Ovis aries: one gene and its partner. Each later gene encodes a partner of the first gene's protein in a complex. Links are inferred from orthologs where the notes say so. Each region holds a gene or a part of one and is shown on either strand. Other genes may lie near its edges. The genes, in order: PLXNA2 and SEMA6A.

What was found.
Region 2: the proteins of PLXNA2 (region 1) and SEMA6A are in contact, whole or in part, in a crystal structure (PDB 3AL8), measured with the Mus musculus proteins. The link is inferred for Ovis aries from reciprocal best matches to the Homo sapiens genes PLXNA2 and SEMA6A. Residues at the interface, in NP_032908.2 of Mus musculus: Ala93, Cys94, Tyr95, Pro96, Lys155, Gln192, Asp193, Tyr194, Asp220, Phe221, Val222, Pro229, Ser230, Asp231, Leu386, Lys389, Val391, Thr394, Lys395, Ala396, Pro397, Val398, Leu407, Asp408, Ile409, Asn410, Gln411; in NP_061214.2 of Mus musculus: Arg108, Met109, Lys110, Gly111, Met162, Ala163, Thr188, Phe190, Leu191, Ile193, Tyr198, Thr206, Arg208, His212, Asp213, Ser214, Glu219, Gln266, Arg267, Glu270, Lys271, Lys393.

What each region holds. Positions count from the first base shown.
Region 1 is NC_056065.1:74,571,657-74,581,961, reverse strand, and holds part of PLXNA2 (plexin-A2), read right to left. Parts: intron 4,333-10,305; 5' UTR 4,253-4,332; coding exon 3,065-4,252; intron 1-3,064. UniProt on the Homo sapiens protein: Coreceptor for SEMA3A and SEMA6A. Necessary for signaling by SEMA6A and class 3 semaphorins and subsequent remodeling of the cytoskeleton. Plays a role in axon guidance, invasive growth and cell migration.
Region 2 is NC_056058.1:35,109,833-35,120,137, forward strand, and holds part of SEMA6A (semaphorin-6A), read left to right. Parts: intron 1-2,229; coding exon 2,230-2,320; intron 2,321-5,900; coding exon 5,901-6,020; intron 6,021-6,718; coding exon 6,719-6,807; intron 6,808-7,676; coding exon 7,677-7,894; intron 7,895-10,305. UniProt on the Homo sapiens protein: Cell surface receptor for PLXNA2 that plays an important role in cell-cell signaling. Required for normal granule cell migration in the developing cerebellum.

The DNA of each region.
Region 1 (10,305 bases):
GGCCAGCACAGCCTTTAGGACAGAGCTGCTATTCAGTGAGTGAGGGTCCCCTTCCTTATTTCTTTTCTGGGAACAGAGCTCAAAATCTTTTATCTGAGAGTTTCCTGTGAGTCCAGAGAGCATGTTAAAATTAAGCCCTGGGACCTCTGCTTCTCTCACTCACCCTTAACCCCCTTTGAGGCCACTGGAATGCCTCTGGGTGCCCAGGTCTGGGACTCTAAGGATGGTAAGGGGACCTTCCTGTTGCCCCCCACCCACCCCAGCTATCCAGGCAGCCCCAGCAGAGTCTGATGCTCAGGGTGGGCATGGTTAGTGTGCGGCTCTTCCTTCCGAGCCCTAGCCCACCTGCTGTCCCCCGCCTTTGTGGCCCTTTGCTTACTAGCCCGGGCTTGTCTCTGCAGACAGGGGAGTCCCGCGAGGGTGTGGGCTCTTCCTCCTTCCTCTGGCTCAGAAGCAGGCAGGAATCAGCAGTTTCCTCCTGACAAGGCCCCCTCTGGGCAGTGGGAACTGGGACAGACTCTGCAAGCCGTTAACCCTTTCATTCCCTTTCCTCTTCTCTCTCTTTTTTTTTTAAGTGCTTGAGGGAATTTTATTTATTCATTTAACAAAACTGTGGTGGGCAGCCTGCTGTGCTGACTGAAGGCCATTCTTTTTTTTTCGGTTGTCAATCTGTATTTTTGTTTTATTATCTTTCAAATTTATTTTTAATTGGAGGATAATTGCTTTCAATACTGGGTTGATGTCTGCTGTACAACAACGTGAATCAGCCACAAGTATACATATATACCTGCCCTCAGGAGCATCTCTCCCCACATCCAAGTCATCGCAGGGCACTGGGCTGAGCTCCCTGGGTTATACAGCACCTTCTCACTAGCTGTCTATTTTATACATGGCAATGTATATATCTCAATGTTACTTTCTCAATTCACTGGGGCCATAGGTTATAGAGTTTCAGGGCTGTAAAGAACTTTGGAAACTATCTAGCTCAACCTCCTCATTGTATAAAGGTAAAATAACAAGAAATGAATGGTTCTTTAATTAATATATATCTGTCATTTATTAGATGCTATGTGCCAAGTATTGTACTAATACATACTTTTTCTATGTAATCCTCATAAAAACAGACTTGCTATTTCTATTGTTAAAATAAAAATACAACTCAGATCAGGTACGTAACTTGCCCAAAGTCACACGAGCGGTAGGACTGACCTTTAAACACAAATCTGTTGGAACTCCAGGCCTATGGCCTTAACTACTGTTCTACTGGACCAAGAAACTGACAGCAGAACAGAAGCATCGTCTACGTGTGATTTTTTTTTTTCTTGCTTTAAGAAGTGGCTTTTGGTCCCAGTAGCAGACACTCCCTCTTTAGGGGTTTCAAAAGGCAGCCATACGGGTCACTTGGTGTCACATTGATCCCCAGGCTGCAGATCGTGTGTCCACAGGACTTTGCACAGAAATCCATCTTAGAATTTGTCACACTGCATAACAGTTAACTAATCATGGCCAACCTAACACGCCACATCTGATCATCCCGTGAAGTAGGCATTATGAGTCCCACCTCACAGATGATCATGTAGACACACTAAGCTACTTCTGAAGCCAGGAAGTAGCACAGATGGAATCTAAACTCTGAATGCCAAACTCTTCAGCATTACATGACGCTGCTTGCTATTTTTATCTCTCACTCTCTTGCCCATTGGATTATGATACCTTGGAGAGTAACGATCATGTCTTTTTTATGTCTGCATTCCCAGTGCCTAGTACGGTGCTGGGCACTCGAGAGATCTTTGATACCCTCTGGCTGAATGGATGGATGGAGGGAGGGATAAAGGGAAGAATGGAGGGGTGGATAGATGGATGACATGACGGATGGATGGACAGACTGATGGATCGTGGTGACCACCGAGATGGCGGCCTTCTGATCCTCTCACAGGACAGGGCTCGCCACCGACCTCCTCGTCTCTTCCACCGTCAGGTCTGGACTCTGAACTCCCCTTCCTCCCCTCCTTTCCCTCTGCGGGGACGCCTGGTTCTTCTTCCCTAGCTTTCAACCTATCAGTCACGCTTGACCCCCTTTGCCCTCCTCCAGCTCCTCCAGCCTCCATACCTGCCTGCCTCCTTTACCCCTCACTGTGGCCGGCAGGGCCCTGCGTGGGCAAGACGTGGTCCCTGTTACCCCTGACCGGCCTCCTCTCCAGCCACAATTTCTGCCGCATGCCGAGGTCCAGCTGCAGTGGCCGCCTCGCTCTTCCTCACGACCGGCATTCTCTGCACTGCTGTTCCCGCCCACTCTCTCGAACGCTCTCCCCAGATACCCACACAGCTGGCTCTTCCTCATTCTTTGCTCAGATGCTGCTTTCTCAATGAAACAATCCTCTTGGGTCCTGCCTCTCCCCCATTCCCTGCTTTATTTTCTCTCTACAGCAACTGTCATCACTGGAGAGACTACCCGTTTTATGTATTTCTATGTCTTGCCTCACTAACGAAGTGAGTAAGGGGCTTTCTCTAGTGGCTCAGACGTTACAGAATCTGCCTGCAGCACGGGAGACCCAGGTTCGATCCCTGGGTTGGGAAGATCCCCTGGAGGAGGGCATGGCAACCCACTTCAGTATTCTTGCTTCCAGAATCCCCACGGACAGAGGAGCCTGGCGGGCTGCAGTCCATGGTTCGCAAAGAGTCGGACACGACTGAGCAAAAGTCGTGGACACACACCCAAAAGCTCCATGAGGGCAGGTCGTGATGTGGTAGGGTTCAAGGCTGAAGCCGGCAGCGCTTAGGACACTGGATGGGATATATGCGGAATGACTCCGCAGGATCAACAAACGTAGCTCAAGCGCATGAGCCTGCCACCTCCCTCACTGCAGGCTGCGACGGTCTGGGTTGTCCAGTAGCAAAGTCATGTCTGACTCTTTGCAACCCCACGGACGGTAGCCCTGCCAGGCTCCTCTGTCCGTGGGGTTTTGCCGGCGAGAATACTGGAGCCGGCTGCCATTTCCTCCTGCAGGGGGTCTGGGGGCAGGCGTGTCCTGAGCGGGGTGTGTGCCGGGGGCGCCCTCCTTACCGCCTTGGTGCACTGCACGTCCTTCCCCAGCAGCCAGTTGAGCTCCAGGTTGCCCTCGCCCTGGTAGCAGGACTGCAGGCGCTCCTTGATCTGCAGGTTGACTGCGCGGATGGGGAAGGCGCAGAGGGCGGAGTCATCCGGCGGCTGGTGGTACTGCTTCTGCCCTTTGGAGAAGATGGCGAAGAGCACGTCGTCCTGGCCGCTGATGTTGAAGGCCCGCGCCAGCGCGTCCCCGGGCTTGGCGAGGTAGGCGGCCTGCAGGAGGCGGTATTCCACCCCGGCCCGCGTGCAGCCGAAAGGCAGGGACACGTAGGAGTGGAACTTGGGGTCGTCCTTGCAGAGCCGCACGATGCGCGAGGTGTAGAAGAGGTCCCCGGCCGAGTTGATGGCCACGCCCTCGGGGGTCTCGGGCTGGACCGTCAGGAAGTAGACGAAGCCCCCGCTGGCGAAGCCGTAGATGTAGAAGATGTCGAAGTGGGCCACCAGGGCCAGGGTGTCGGAGGGGATCTTGATGAGCGAGGAGACGAAGTCGCTGTGCAGCTCGTAGTCGAGCATGGCGGAGGACTCGGGGTCGCGCGGCAGCTTGCGGCTGGACAGCGTGGGGAAGTAGTCCTGCTTGCCGTCCACGGCCGTGCCGATGAAGAGCTTGCCGTCCTCGCCCTCGGAGCGCACGATCACCCCGTACATCGTGCCCGTCTTGTTGACGCTGGACAGGTAGTGCTCCTTCTTGTGGGACGGCTCCACCAGGATGAAGAGGTCGTCGAGCCGCAGCAGCTTGCACACGCCCTGGTACAGGCTGCCGCAGGCCAGCAGCCGGTTCTCCGAGTAGTCGATGATGAGCAGCTTGTTGACGTTGTTGGTCAGCGTGAGCACCTCGCCGCAGGGCTGCACGATCAGCGGCGGGTAGCAGGACTTGTTGTCCTCCTCCGGGCCCGTCTTGTGAGCCACCTGGATGGTCAGGTTGCCCGTCAGCTTGTACACGCGGTTGATGGCGCCCACGTACACCGCCCCGGTCCCGCGGTGCACCGTGAGGTGGTTGAAGGTCCAGTCGCGGTTTTCCGAGTGGAAGGTGCTGAACTGGGGCGCGCTGGCCGCCCGCGGCGCCAGCAGCACGCAGACGGCCGAGAGCAGGACCACAGGCCAGCCGTCCCCGTCTGCCGCCCGCGGCCCGGGCCTCCTCTGTTCCATCCTGAGCCGGCCGAGGGCCAGGACACAGGGCCTCCGATCTCTTGCGAACTCCGCCTCCCCGGCCTGGCCCTCACATGGTTCTGCAAAACACAAGAGGCAGAGCGGTCAGACAGAAAACAAATCCCTGGAGAACCGGCTTGCTTGACCCAGGTCCCAGCGCCTGCTAGCTCTGTGAGCCTCTTCCTTCTGTATTTGGGTTTTTCTATTTTTAACATACATTCTCCCTCTTCGGGATGTTCAGGGAATCCTATTATCTATTTTGGTCTCCAGCTTTGACACTGTAAAATGCTTTTTTTTTTTTTTAAAACTTTACAAAGCATCTCTATTTCTGTCCTCTTCAGAGATCGTTTTTACCGCTCAGAGAGGTTAACAGACCGAGTCCCCGCAGCCAGTGGATCCCAGTGTGGGGACTAAGGCCAGTCTTCCCACCCAGTTGCCAGGTTCCTCCTGCTCGCTCCCAGTCCAGTGGAAAACGCTCCAGCCTGTGAAACACCAGTGGTTAGGGAGGCCCTCTCCCAGGCTCTCCCTTCCGAATCTGGTGTCCCAAATAACATTCCTTCTTATTTCAGCCGTCCACCCCCTCGCACTGCTGGTTTCCTCTTTCATGCTCCGTCCCCCACAGGGAAGGAAGGAGGGGAGCTGGTCATCTAACATTGCCTCTCACTGCCCTTCAGCCTGGTGCTCTCTAGAGAGAATCCTGCAGTGTTAGCACGGAACACTTGTTCTGAGAGTGAGCTAGGCCCGGGGCCCACGTGGGTGCTATTCAGGAGCCTAAAGAGTCCCCGGGGAAAGGGCAGACAACCACCCACCCTTCCTCTTTGGGTCGGGAGGATGTCAGCCACTGCCTCCCCGGTAAGCAGGGACCCTGTGGCCTCCTTTGCAGGTGGAGTCCAGCGTGGAGCCGGCCACCTTACTCGTGGGGACTGGCTGGCTGAGTCCAGCCTCAGCCGCCTGGGCGAGAGTTCTGGGTTTGGGAGGCATGGGGAGGAGCCAAGGGAAGTGAGTTGAAGGTCAGTCGCACGGCAGCCACTGCTAGGGCCCCGTGATGGTTTAAGGCTCCGCACGGTCAACCTCAGGCTGCCCGCCCCCGCCGGTCAGTCCCCTGCCCTGACGTCCCTGCTCCCTCCCTTCCCTCCCGAGCCCCAGGTTCTGCAGCTTTTCCTACTATTCCAGGAAAGCTTGCCCAGAGGGGCAAGGGGGGGCTCCTGCAGACCTTCAGAGAGTGGTGGGCAGGGGACAGACGGTGGAGCCTTCTCATCACTCTGCCTGCTCCTGACTTTTATGGGGGAGGTGGGGACAGTGGTGGCTCTAGCGGAGAAATCTTTTCTCCCGGCTGGACAGACTGGCCGGCAACCTTCTTGGACAAGTCCAGACAGAAGTCCGGGTAATGAGGCAGCGTGGAAAGGCTCACGCCCAGGATGGAGCACGTGCTCCAAGGCGGCCTGCTGCTGCTGCTGAGGCGCTTCAGTCGTGTCCAACTCTGCGCGACCCCACAGACAGCAGCCCACCAGGCTCCACCGTCCCTGGGATTCTCCAGGCAAGAACACTGGAGTGGGTTGCCATTTCCTTCTCCAATGCATGAAAGTGAAAAGTGAAAGTGAAGTCGCTCAGTCGTGCCCAACTCCTAGCGACCCCATGGACTGCAGTCCACCAGGCTCCTCCGTCCATGGGATTTTCCAGGCAAGAGTACTGGAGTAGGGTGCCATTGCCTTCTCTGTACCAAGGCAGCCTAGGAGAGTCCAGTTCAGTTCAGGTCAGCCGCTCAGTCGTGTCCGACTCTTTGTGACCCCATGAACTGCAGCACACCAGGCCTCCCTGTCCATCATCAACTCCCTGAGTTTACTCAAACTCATGTCCATTGAGTTGGTGATGCCATCCAACCATCTCATCCTCTGTCGTCCCCTTCTTCTCCCACCTTCAATCTTTCCCAGCATCAGGGTCCTGGATCCCTTTATTTATCCCCCACCTGGCTACATGGGGCTGGAATCTGGGATCGAATAGATGCCCTCTGCGGGATCCACGTGCTCTCTGCTCCATGTCTTTCAAAACTCCCCCTGTCCTCTGCAACTGTGCCTCCCATGCCTGACGCCCACATGGTGCCAGAGGCGGGCCCCACCTGACCGCTCGCCTCCAAGGAGGCTCCACCGGGATGCTGTTCTGGAGTGACTCATCAGGCCCCGGGCTTCCTTGGAAAGAGGAAGGCACAGCGGCATGAGGCCTGGGCTGACCTCAGGGGCTCTGACACAGCCCTTCCGGCCCCACGCGCTCACCGGCAAAGCCTCCCCGACGGACAGAGCTTTCGGTTTGAAAATCGGAGGTTATTTTTAGCTATGTCCTGGGGCCGGTAGCCGGACGTGAATTCCTCAAGAGAAGCTGCGGAAAGGAAATAACAGAATCCTCACATTCTCCATCTGGGTAGGGAGCTGCAGGAAGCTGGGCTGTGCATGCCCCTTCTCTGGGCAGGAGAGCTCGTTTGCCTACAGGTGGAGGGCAGTGTGTCCCCCTCCGCCTCCCGCCAGAGGATTATAGTTGCCATCATGATGCACTTGGGGTTTGGCCTTCTGGGCAGGGATTTCTGAGACACTCTGGCATTGAGTGTGCAGGCAGAGAACTCCTGCCTGCCCCACAACTTACATGCACAGACATGCTTAGCCCATGGAGGGGGGAGACGGTCCCAGGAGCAGAGGTGACGCCAGAGGACACCAAGTGAGGTTAAGATGAACTGTCTCACTGCCCTGCCAGGCATCCTCCAGAGACATGGTTTGAAGTGTGAATGGCTTCTGTTGTCAGGCAGAATTCAGGAAGAAATGTGGGACCTTGGGCAAGTCCAGTCTCATCCTCCTTTCTGGTAGGATGGGATAATGACGGTACCGACCCCTCGGGTTGTCATCAGAGTAAATGAGATAATGCGGGGAAGCCTCTTAGCATGGGAGCTGGCACTCAGTGAATGCTTAACTCATACCAGTTATTATTATCATTGAAGCCTCCCCAAGAGGCTGTGCTTTAGGAATGTTGCCAGACCTCCTGACTTCTCTTTTCACTCATATTCTTCCTTTCCATGGGAATGAACGCTGCGGGCAGCCCATTGAGCCCCAGCCCTCCCTGGAGTGGTGAAGGCGTGCATCAGAGAAAAGGGAACAGATTGAAGGTGATCGTCTCCGGCACACTACTGCACAAGTCCCAGCACGGCTCTCTGCAGCCTGCAGGGAGCCTGGTGGAGGTACAGGATCCCAAGAGTTGAAGTGTGAGTGGGAAAACTGGCCTGGTGTCCAGAAGGCAAGGAGTCCTAGGGAAGGGGGCAGAGTGGGGAACTCAGAGAGACCTGTGTCCAAATCCTGCCTCTGTCAACATGAGTTGTGTGGCTTTAGGCTGCTCCAGTGTCACCCCGAGCCTACTTCTTAACCAATAAAGGATGTTATTTGATCTTAAAGAATGCTATTAAAACAAAGGATGTCATAACCAGTTGGTAAGATTTCGTCCTTCAGACAAAATGGTATCTTGAGACTTGCTTCTTTCAGCTTCTAGAGTCAATAACTGCAATAACAGCTGAGGTCCTTCTGTCCTGCCTGGCAGGGCTGGTTAAATCTAGAGGTCTCAACAGACCAGTAATTGTACTGTTTTCCCCTTCCTTCTCAATCAGCGTCTACTCTGGGACAGACTACTCCCGGGGACCAGCCACACAGATTCCTTCCACGGGACTCAAGGGTAGTCCACGTAGGAGCCACAGGCACTGGGGCCTCAGGGTCAAGAGGAGACGGGGTCCCCTGCAGTGCAGGGGTGGAGGGACACTTGCATCTCACCTTGGAATTCACAAGGACAAACTGGCTTCAAGAGTGAGTCGAGAGCCCCAGTCTTTCAATGCCAAGGCTGACATTACCAGGTAGCTCTTCCAAAGAAGGGTCTGGTTGGCAAGGTCTGGTCTGGTTGGTCCTGTCTGAGTTCAGGGTAAGGGAGAAGGGTACCCACCTCTATGCCTCGATGAAATGCCACGTAGTGTGATGGAGAGACTCATAAGCTCTGGATTTAGGTGCTTGGATTCAAACAGAGGTGATAGCTGTGTAAACTTGGTCAAGGTACACAGCTGTTCTCTGATGCTGTCTCACTAGATGTAATGAGGTTGGCACTAGCTTCTGCCTCATAGGGTTATGATGGTGAAGTCATTTAATTCACATAAAGAACTTAGAACAACGCTTGGCCCATTATAAATGTTCAAGACACCTTAGCCTTATCAGTAGTAATCTATCTCTCAATATCCCCAGCCTTTCATCTCTGTCCATCCCATGGTCTGTCTTAGAATAAAACATCCATCCTTGTATTTGGTAGGAGCCAGTGAACATACGCATGTGGCTTTGTAGAGCTAGGATTTCCTCCTCACCCCAAGTGTCACCCGCGGGGATTTTCTCCACGATGCCTCCTTCCTGCCCCTCTTCCTCTCTCTGTCTAGTTTGTGAAGTCGCCGTGCCACGTGCGTTCTCAAGAGCCACACCTGCTGAGTGGCCGTTCTCCTACCAGCTTCCCTGTCCCCCGTCCCAAGTCTCAAATGAGGACACGCCGCCCTGGGATGCCGGCTCGACCCGCAGAGCGCTCGGAGCACTGATGCCAAGGGGAGGCCACACTCGCCTCTTTGGGAAGCAAGAGTCACTAAATATTTCATTTCGAGGGCCTGGTGAAACCATCTCCCTGATGAGGCCTCAGGAAGCAGGTGTTGGTGTCAGCTAGAGGAGGCACCTAATACCTTCCCGATCAGATGCTGCAGACACCAGGGGCAAAGCAGGGGCGAGACGACAAGCATTTCCAGCTCAGCTCAGCGAAGGATTCCCTCCTCCCCACAACCCGTTCTGTTGCCTTTTTCGGGATATCTGGGAGCACAAACCTCTATGCTTTATTGGCCTCCCTTATTGCAAAAGGAAAGAAGAGGAGGCAGGAAGAGGAGTTAGCACTGGAATACAATTTTGCTAAACTGAGTGAAAGTTCTTGATGCCAGAGCTCCCACCCGTGGGCCCATCTGCAGCTCCTCCTGGCACCGTCATCACCAACATCATCCAGGCTATATTTCTCATCACAATAACAGTAAAGGTGTCTATTATTATAACTGCACCAACTAGGTGGCTCACACAGCCAGGATCCTGAGAAGCCAGAATCCAGACAGTAAGTATGAGGAGGGGGGCTGGGCGCTATTTACAACAGGCAAGATCTGGAAGCAACTACAGTGTCCATCCACAGAGGAATGGATAAAGAAGATACGGTGCACATATACAACGGAGTATTACTCAGTCATAAAAAAACTGAAAGATTGCCATTCGCGGCAACGTGGGTGGACCTAGAGAATATCATACCAAGTGAAGTAAGACAGAGAAAGACAAATATTATAATGATATCACATATGTGGAATCTAAAAAATAATACAAATGAATCCATATACAAAACAGATGCAGACTCAGACATAGAAAGCAAATTTATGGCTACTAAAGGGAAAAAGAAGGGGGCAGGGATAATTTAGGGGTATAGGATTAACAGATACTACAATATATAAAATAGGATTTACTGTAATATACAGGGTGCAATATTCAATATCTTATAATAACCTATAATGGAAAAGAATCTGAAAAAACATATATATATATATAACTGAATCACTCTGCGGTACCCCTGAAACTAACACAATATTAGCTATAATTAAATCAACTGTACGTCAATAAAACAAAACGCACAAGGAAGCCTAGTGTGCTGCAGTCCATGGGGTCACAAAGAGTTGGGACACGACTGATCGACTGAACTGAAAACAAACAGAAAACGAGGCCTGTGAAGTCAGAGGAGTCAGCAGCTGTTCCTGGGCTTCACCTAAAGCCCTTTCCTCTCCCAGGGCAGGGAGAAGCCTGTGCTCTCCTTGGCTGCCCCTCCTAATGAGCGGCGCCTTTAAAGCAGGGATTCCAGGCCGGCGCTGAAGGCAACTCTAAGATGACTCCAACCCACTTCTCTGTTTTCAGAGGAAGAAGCCAAAACACATGGAGAGGAAACAAATCGTCAAAGGTGCGTCAGCGTGACTTGGAGGC
Region 2 (10,305 bases), on another chromosome or scaffold:
CATGGGCAGGATTACAGCCTGCAACTGCTTGGGATAACAGCATTTCTGTTGCATCACTGTATAGCGGGTATCGCTCTGAATACTTGTCACAGACTGCAAAGTCTGTCGCAGTTAAACAAGAAGCTCTTGTTGGGATAAAATATTAGGAAAAGACTTTCATAAAAATGTGCCAGGGAAGAGTACATTTGCTTTAAAGGGTGTCTAACTTGAACATCTTTCTCCTAAAAATGTATTTCTAACACAACTGCTTTATGTGATTCTCAGCCACAGTTTAAACAAGCATTATGGCTTTGATGGGGGAGATCCCAAAGTGGCTGCACACAGAAAAGGCCTGTCCTATCCTTGAAAAGTTTCTGTGGGTTGAGGGCAAAGGGCACAAATGACTGGACTATACTAGCGACTGCTCAGTAAGGATCTCACTCTTTCCTCCTGGGCAGCAACTCCAGGCTCCTCGATTCAGGCACTTCGATTTTAATGCTAAAGAGCATTTCACAGATCCTTCCTTAGTGCTGTCTTGGGTTTGTCTTCTTTCCGTTTTCCAGATGATAAACAAAACACCCTAAAACCATAAAGAAGACTGAAATACAGAGGAGTCAGAACATTAGCACTGTGGAAGATATCACTGTTTGGTCTCTGTGATGCTGAGACTTAAATGCTAGGAAGCTCTCATGGTGTCAGGAAGGGAGGGTGGGAGGAACCCCTGAATTATTGGTCTAGATGCACTGACAGTTGGCTGATCAACAGAGGTTCATTTCCTGCTCACATCACAGTCAAGTGTGGGTCAGTCAGTGAGTTTCTATTCTGAGAGGTTAAAAGCCGGCTCTGTCCTGCTTATATGTCTGCCATCTCTTGCGATCTCCTAGGATCTTGGAATTCTCCACTGGATCCTCTCTAGGATCCAGTGAAGAAGATGGAAAGAGAAGGGAAGAGTGTGGAAAGAGAACAAGAGTGGAGGATCTGGGGAGGTTTTCAGGGGCAAGACCTAGAGGTGGGGCAGAGCCTTATACTCACACCCCATTGGCCAGAGCTCAGTCATGTGATCATACCTGACTGCAAGGGAGGATGGGAAATGTAGTTTAGTGTGATATGGAGGAAAGGGAAATGAATTTGTTGAACAGCTAGTAAGGCTTTGCCTCACCTGCAAATGCCTGTGAGCCAGGCGGGTAACTTGTAAGAGTGAAGCAAGCAGCATGTCAATACAATCTATGGGTCAAGGGGTCTTGGTGCTAGAGACTATATAAGCAAGCAGCATGTCAATACAATCTATGGGTCAAGGGGTCTTGGTGCTAGAGACTATATGCCGATCTGAAGAAAATGGCAGGGGTGGCCATTACTCAACTATAGCTTGCTGCCCCTTGGCTAAGAAGGGCCGGAATTGACTTACCCACATGTTCAAAAGATGCAAGAAATCCAAGTTTTCATATGCAGTCTGCCTTTTTAAGAGAGAGTTAGTTTTCCTTTTTCTTTTTCTAAACATACTCAGATGACCAAAGAGGCAGGCTAGTAATAACCTCTAGGGTACAGGAACAAGCCTGGGTTGGGCAGGAGGAGATGGGAGTCAAGTTGCAACCACACTGCTCATATCTGGGGCCCATGGGAGCCTCTCAGCTTCTGGGCCACTCTTTCTCATCTACATAATCTGAAGATCAGACATGTTTCTGAAGTAGGTGCAAAGGCCACCTGAGCTCTGCTTGCATCTGTGTTTTCGTTCATGCTTGCTGATGCCATACTATTCTCGCAGGTAACCTGAGAAAGAATTCCAGGGTCTTCTCCTAGAATTTAACCCACAAAGGCAAGACTCCTCTGGCAAAACAAAACAAAAACTGGGGTCATTCTCTGTAGAGTTCATGACTTAGCAGATAATTCTAGGGGATGGGGGAATATGTTTTCCTGGTGAATACCTCAGAAATCCCTTTTCCAAGGAGAAAGATGCTTATTTCTCTAGCATTCCAGGAGGATATGGGAATCTCTTTATTGTCATGGTTCTGAGTCAAGCAGACATGACTGATTCTTCTGACTCTCCTAGCTACAGAATCTTGGTCAAGTGACTTAATCTCTCTCAACGTCAGCGTCCCCATCTGAAACCAAAAGACTTAACCTTAGAGGGTATTTGACTATTATTTGCACCAGGCATATAAATTGCTCAAAAAGTTAAGTGCTCTGTAAATATTAGTTGCTGTTATTATCTGTCGGTTGCTGTGCCTAACTTAGTCCTATCATTTCATTTAGATGGATACTTTGGAACCTGTGGGTGATGAATTTAGCGGAATGGCCAGATGCCCTTACGATGCCAAACATGCCAATACTGCACTGTTCGCAGGTAAATGACCTGATTTCCTGATTTCTCCTCATTGCCTTTGTTTTCGTGGGCTCAGCCTGTGGCCCTGCAGGATTTGCAGAGTCACAGTTGTACTTTGATTCTCTGGTGACTACTGTAACTAGGAATGCCTTTTCCATTGGAAATCATATGGAAATTGTACTTTTGTTTTTTTGTTGTTGTTCGGTCACTCAGTTGTGTCCGACTCTTTGCGAACCTATGGACTGCAACACACCAGGCTTCCCTGTCCTTCACTATCTCCTGGAGTTTGCGCAAACTCATGTCCATTGAGTCAGTGATGCCATCCAACCATCTCATCCTCTGTCATCCCCTTTTTCCTCCTGCCTTCAATCTTTCCCAGCATCGGGGTCATTTCCAATGAGTTGGCTCTTCACATCAAGTGGGAAAGTATTAGAGCTTCAGCTTGAGCATCAGTCCTTCCAATGAATATTCAGGGTAGATTCCTTTAGGATTGACTGGTTTGATCTCCTTGCTTTTTTTTTTCTCCTCTCCTCGCTTCTTAAGACAAGTCTTTGCCATGCTTACCCATGCTTCTCTGCCTTCAGAAAGAGTAACAACTTTGCACTGAACATGCTGCATACTGGTTAGGGCGCGTCTGGGCTGAAGTAACAGAAAATCCCACCTCTAACCCCCAGTGTGAACTGAGTATTTAAGGTGGGGTAGACTTTGAGGTGCTTTGATTCAACAACTCATTCATCTCATCCAGGACGTAGGTCCTTTTCATTTCTCTGCTCAGTTTTCTTTCTTTCTCTGAGGGAGACTGGCCGTTCTCACAGTCATAGGATGGCTGTTGGGTCTCAATTAGGGCTACATGTCCTTTGGTCTGGGCTTCTCAGGTGGAACTAGTGGTAAAGAACTCACATGCCGTGGGTTTGATCCCTGGGTTTTGAAGGTTCCCCTGGAGGAGGGCATGGCAACTGACTCCAGTATTCCAGCCTGGAGAATCTGCTGGACAGAGGAGCCTGGCAGGCTACAGTCCATAAGGTTGCATAGAGTCGGACGTGACTGAAGCAACTTAGCACATACACACATCCCCTTGTCTACATGTAGAAGGGAGAAGGAAAGAGACGAAAGGAAGCTTCTGTAAGCTTTCTCGGTTACCAGCACATCTTCTCAAATATCATGACCTCATGAGCTTACCTGCCTGTCTCTGATAGAACTATAGTGCCCGAAGGGATGCTGCTGATGATCAAAGGTTGACCAACACTCCCCATTGCTGCTCCTTCCTTCCATTGCAAAGGATATAGAATGAAAGCAAATAAGCCATGACTTTCAGATGGGGGTTTTTGTGTATGTGTGTGGGTGTTTTATTGATAATTAGAAATTTATTTAGGAATTCATTGCCAGCTGTGCTCACTGAGGTGGGTGTAGGGAGAAGTATTGGTATAGGAGCTCCTCCAAAGGTAGAGCATTCCTAGCAAGCAGCCTTGTAAGTCAGGTAAACCTATTTGTAAGCATGGGTAGGGACAAGGCCACTGGAAAGAGTGCTTGAGGATTATATTCTTAAGTGCCTAACTTCTACTGCAGCACTTTTCTGACACGTGGAACCTGCATTAGGAATAGAGCAATGGAGGTTGTGGACTGCAGTGGAGAATGTAAATTTAATAAGGAAAAAGAGGCAGCCCAAGGTAGAAAGAGGAGAATGAGCAGAGTGCTTTCCGAGGCCACCAACCTTCCAAGAGCAAGCCCCATGAAACCATCTTGTGGCTGCCGCTCCTCCTCCCCAGAAGGTGTATCTGAATCCATGTCCACTGAAATGCTTGAAAGCTCTTAAAACTTCCACCATTATAAACAGAGGATACTTGTTGCCCCTGAATAGTTGTCGTATTACCAAAAGTGACAAAATAGTACTCTATTTTACGAGTAAAAGTTCTGGCAAGATATCCAGTTTAAAATGTAAGACAAAGAGTATGGAGGTGTGTTCAACAGCAGTAACACACACACACTCACACACACACACAGCTCACACACACACACACACACACCCCACTGTCCTCTCCTCCTCAGGTATATCCATATGATCCAGAACTATGATTCTGTAAGAAAAATTGTGATTTTTGCAAACTCATGTGTATCAATAGAAAGGTTTGCCATCTGCAGCCAAAATCTAACCCAGAAGGTCAACACGTACAGATACATGACTGTTAGTAATGTAGATATGAAGACAGCTCTACCTGAAACAGCAGATACCAGTTAAGACCAAAGAAAGTGAAAGTGAAAGAAAGTGAAGTCGCTCAGTGGTGTCTGACTCTTTGCGGTCCCATGGACTGTAGTCTACCAGGCTTCTCTGTCCATGGGATTTTCCAGGCAAGAGTACTGGAGTGGGGTGCCATTTTCTTCTCCAGGGGATCTTCCTGACCCAGGGATTGAACCCAGGTCTCTGGCATTGCAGGCAGACACTTTACCCTCTGAGCCACCAGGGACCAAAAGTAGACCTCAAAGACTTTGCTTTGGTATGTTTATTTAAAACAGAACCATATGCTTATCCCACGAGGGCTAGAGCTTAAAGAGAACTGTGATGTATATAAACCACTTCTGAAGATGCTCTGGGAACCACAATTAATGAAGACAGGTAACCCATTAAAGCTGAGACAAGGAAGCTATTTTTTATATTGAATATAATTATTGTTTCCATTTCATCTACACAGATTTTACTATTCCAGAACAGCCCATTTGATTATCTGTGTAAAGAATGCTTGCTAATCCAAGAAAAGAACCACAGATTTTAAGGATTCATCTTTAATCATCTTGTCTCTCTTTTGCCTTGGATGTATCCTCAAGCAGAAGTCTCAAAGAGCATGAATTCTTAAAGAAAAGTCCAGTTTGAACTCAGCATCATCCCTTCCCCCTCTTTATTTTGGCTTTTTGTATATCAGAATGTTCTCAGTTTGAGACTTTGGAAATACTGAAACAAGTATCTCTTAAATGGAAAGCTAGATCAGTAGAACTTAGTGGCTCTCCTGATTGAGGTAAAGAGGAGCAGAGACTCAAAAAGGATACATATACCAATCTTCTTTTTTTTCTTTTTTTTTAATCGGAGTATGATTACATGTAGCAATTTTAGTCAGTTCTTTTTTGCTTACAAATCCTCTTTCTTCAACGTCCCTCACTTGCTTAGGCTGCGGACTTTCTTACTTCTGCTTGTACTTAAATTTTTCTGGTGATACAATCAGCCTCTATCTTTCCCGGGGCTCCTACCTAATCCAGTTTACCATGGTATGGTGGTGGCTGGAGTGTCCAAGCGGCCTTGGCCTTGAGATTTCAGTCAAGGTCCATCTAATGGAGTGAAGCAAACAACATTTTTCATTTACCCTGTTCCCTGAGCTGCTGCTGCTTAGAAATTGCCGTGCAATTTAAAAATGAAAAATGTTTCATCTCTTGTGATCCCAATTTAAAATGGTTAGGAATGTGGGTCAAGTATTTTCCTACAACTCTTGGATTTGTCCCAGTTGTCCTATCGTATTTGCCTGATTTAGGAAAGCCAGGTGGGGATGTCTCTGTTATTCCCCCATGCCCACCATCTTGCTCCAACCCTATTCTCCTCTCCTCTTTCTCTTCAAAGATGGAAAACTGTACTCTGCTACAGTCACAGACTTCCTTGCCATTGATGCAGTCATCTACCGGAGTCTTGGAGACAGCCCAACCCTACGGACCGTCAAGCATGATTCAAAATGGTTAAAAGGTGAACAAACAATTAAAAAAAGAAAGGAGGTGTGGTGGGGGAGATATATATCTTGAAGGAGATTTAGCGTCTGAATGGTCCAGATTGTAGTTTCACTTTAGTAATGGCTTCTCACGGACAGGAAGGTGGAAATTGCATCTCTTGCCCCGAGTTGATTTATTACCTCCCCTTTTCACGTCCCATGAGTTTCTGGAGTATTATCAAAACTACCAACACCACTATAATAGAATACATCACATTCATCTTTCCTGCTTCAGGCTCTCATTTCAAAGTCCCACACGAAACCAACTAAACAAAACACTTCATTCATAGAAGGGAACGGGGAATTCGAGGTGGTGGGGGACAGGAAAAAAGCAGTTCACAACCCGAATGAGTCAAGGTTGACAAGGCAATGTGTACAAAATCTATTCTGTAATATGAGCCTTGTATTATAGAAAATAAAATTACAGAGATACGCAAAACTCATTTATTCTTCATTGTTCATTGCAACTGCTTCTGAAAGATTAAATCTGTAGGCTTAAATGCTTTTGGAAATCATTAAGCACGTGCATGTGTAAAGTCACTAGAAACGGTTAGTGTTAACCAAATGTCTAATGGCCCTACAATTTTATTTCATAATATGTCTTTGGTTGCAACTGACTGCAGTTCTTTTAACTCTGTGTGACACGCCCCCAATTAAAGTGCCCATTTGTCCACAGAACCGTATTTTGTCCAAGCGGTAGATTATGGAGACTACATCTACTTCTTCTTCAGGGAAATAGCGGTGGAGTACAACAGCATGGGAAAGGTAAGAGGGGAGGATGTCTTAATGTGCGGCCAATGTGGTTATGAATGGCTTTGAAATAAAACCATAAATCTAAGGACAAGGTTATCATTTTGAGAAGACCCAGCAAAGACTGGTGGAAGTGAAACATTTTGCTTCCTTGAACCCCTATATGCTTTTTCTGATTAGTAACAGAATACAGGGAAACCTCTTAAATACATTGAAAACTTAATGAACAGATGAGTTTCAAGTATCTTAAGAAAGATGTGGTTTCCAGGTCTCAGGTCTACTCATCAAGTTTTTTTTTTTGTTTGTTTTGATTTGTTTTAAACTAAGCTGCTCTACAGAGAGAAAGTAACTATTCAATACCTATAAGCAAACCCAGGGTCTTGACTGTATTCATTGCAAAAAGCAATAGAAGACTTAGGGGATGTCTATTTTGATTGTTTTTACCAGAGAGTGGATCAAGACCACTGAGTTGGAGGGCACAAATTCAATACCAGGGTGGCTTGCACAGTTAGAGGAATTCAGAGCATGAGAGGCAGAGCCCAGAGGCAGCCAGGGAGGATGGCAGAGATGGCGCATACAAAGTACGCTTTTGTTTGAGGAAATAAAAAGCTAAGCAGTCTGTATGGAAATGAGTGTATGTGCCTGGGAGCTGATCCCCTGAAGGATTTATAGTTCTGTATTAAATGCCACAGCCTTATCTTTCAAAACATGCTGTTCCAATGCTGAGATTTTCCCTTTTTTTTTTTTTGCCACTGATTTTAGAAACACAGGATTAAATGAAGCATCTTGTTGTTCTGTTTTTATTTTTCTAAGAAAGGTAAATTCTACCAAGATCTCCATGAAGAGTAAGTGCATTTCATCTTCTCCGTGTTTTCCCTCTGCAGGTAGTTTTCCCAAGGGTGGCTCAGGTTTGTAAGAACGACATGGGAGGGTCTCAGAGAGTGCTGGAGAAGCAGTGGACGTCTTTCCTGAAGGCTCGCCTCAATTGCTCCGTCCCCGGGGACTCCCATTTTTATTTCAACATCCTGCAGGCAGTTACCGACGTGATTCGTATTCACGGCCGTGATGTTGTCCTGGCAACCTTCTCCACACCTTATAACAGGTAACCATGCCCTGGCGGTGCGGACTTCATCGCTCCTTCCCGGCTTCCTTTTCCCAAGGGGTTCTTGTCTAATACACAAGATTTGCAACCGATGGAAACACTGCCATTCGCTATTTGTAACTAACAAGCACTTAACACTCAGTTTTCATCCACAAATGAACTGTCAGTATAAGTGCTGTTAGAGAATTTTGGAGAAAGTAATGAGATAAATTATTCCAATATCTTTTCAGATGTCTGGGATAGAAATACTATTCATGTGTTATTTCTCGATCCCTCTAGTTATCTTGAAAAGTGAATACCGTTGCCTTCTTTTTACACTTGAGGAAACCAAGTTCAATTATATTCTGATCCAGGTAGTCCACAGATAGAAGCAGCAGCTTTGGCATTCCAGAATGTTCCTCTTTTCTAGGTCACCTAACATTTTATTTGACTTTTAATATTTCTATGACTAGATCAGTAATTTTTGAAAAATACTGGATATGTATTAAAATGCTACAGGGTGAAATTTAGGAAGCAGATGAGTCCATCTTGCATCCCACCTGGCTATCATCCTGTCAGAGGAACCAGAATCCCAACCACAGCACCATTGTCTGAGTCTGGGGGCGTTTATTGAGGATTTAGGTTTCCCTGGTGGTTCAGTACTAAAGAATCCACTGCAATGCAAGAGATGCAGGTTTAACCCCTAGGCCTGGAAGATCCCTTGGAGAAAGAAATGGCAACCCACTCCAGTATTCTTGCCTGGGAAATCCCATGGACAGAGGAGCCTAGCGGCCTACAGTCCATGGGGTCACAAGAGTTGGACATGACTGAGCGACACCACCACCACCTCCACTGAGGATTTACAAGTCATCAAACATTGTCCTGAGAAATACTGAGTCTCAGCCCATTCATTCCTATTTTGTATTTATTTAAGCTAAGACACTGAGCTATTAAATGGCACACTAAAAACTGTCCCTGGAGCAGTGGACACGTGGAGACTAAAGAATAGAGGAAGAGGGACACTATGTTCCTGGCACTCGGCTCTGCCAGACCTCGGAGTCCTAGCACCGTCCTGTGCAAATGATCTCCACTCCGGCGGCGGCCAAGAAATTGAGTGCACGTACTAGACTGTGTACAATTCTGCCTGTTCTCTCTGATCTTCTGCTAGGAATCCACTGTCTTGTTTTGGATTATACTTTTTACAAAGACTTTGAAGAACCTGATGAAAGGCTAGATGACAGGAACCAACCTGATGAGACTGGAGGACAACAGCTAGGAAAAAATGCCTAAGAACTGGGTCAAGTCTAAACAGAGCAAGCTGAAAGATGAAATAACGTTCCTCAGTTATACAGAGGGCAAGAGTCAAGAGTGCCCCACTGAAGACGTAAGAAAACATAAACCTGTATTGCAGCAAGTATTTAGTTAGGTTTAAGTAAGTTGTGACCATCCGAAGGAATTTTGAGACTTGAGAATAGGAAAGATGTAAAAATTCAGGCCTTGACTGCTTGTACTTTGGAACCCATGTATCTAGCAGTGTTGAAAAAGAAGACTGTTCTGGAACATAGGAATGTAAGTGCCAATGGAATTTCAGAGCACATTTCTAAATTTTTTTAAATGTTTTTTGAGAAAATGAGTTTGTGATTACACCAAAGTAGGAGATTCCAAGAGTACTGGAGTGGGGTGCCATTGCCTTCTCCGAAATATTACACATACTCCATTTAAAGAATTTTCTTTAAAGGTCCCTAGGAGACATTCAATAAGTGCCTACTAATGCAGTCTCAGAAACTGTATTTGGTCAGTAAGATCAGAAAATGGCAAAAGTATGCAGGCCAGTCTTCATCTACAAATGACAGTCCCTCTCTGATCACTCCCTCTGGTTTCATCCCTTTCCACCCCATTCTCCACACATTCCCACTCCATCATGCCAGGCTGTCTCAAATCCTTTAGGGGCTCCTCTTGCCCTGAAGATAAAGCCCAGCTCCCTTGTTGGCATGGCATGGAAGCCCATCGTGGTCAGGTGTCAGCTCCTCCTCCAGTGCAGAGGGTTGACTGAACCGCTCATGCCCTGCTGTCTTGCCCAGTTTGCTCCCCCAACCTATCTGCTTGCCCACTGAGCCCCTGGGCATACTCCAAGGCTCAGTTCCAGTCACATCCCCTGGAACTCTGCACGTGCCTTTCATATATACTGCCTTTACCAGATGGTCTTGGAAAAGTTGTTGTTGTTATTATTATCACTGCTGTTGTTGCTTGCCGCCACACTGAATTATCAATCAGCTGAGAGCATGATTTGTTATTTACTAAGCATTCACGGCTTGAGATTGGGGATTCCATAAATATATGTTGAATGAACAGAAGATGGGAATAAAAGGAGGGGATAAAGTAGGGAAGAAAAAAGAAAGGATTTTACACATGATTCTAACATTAGGAAGATT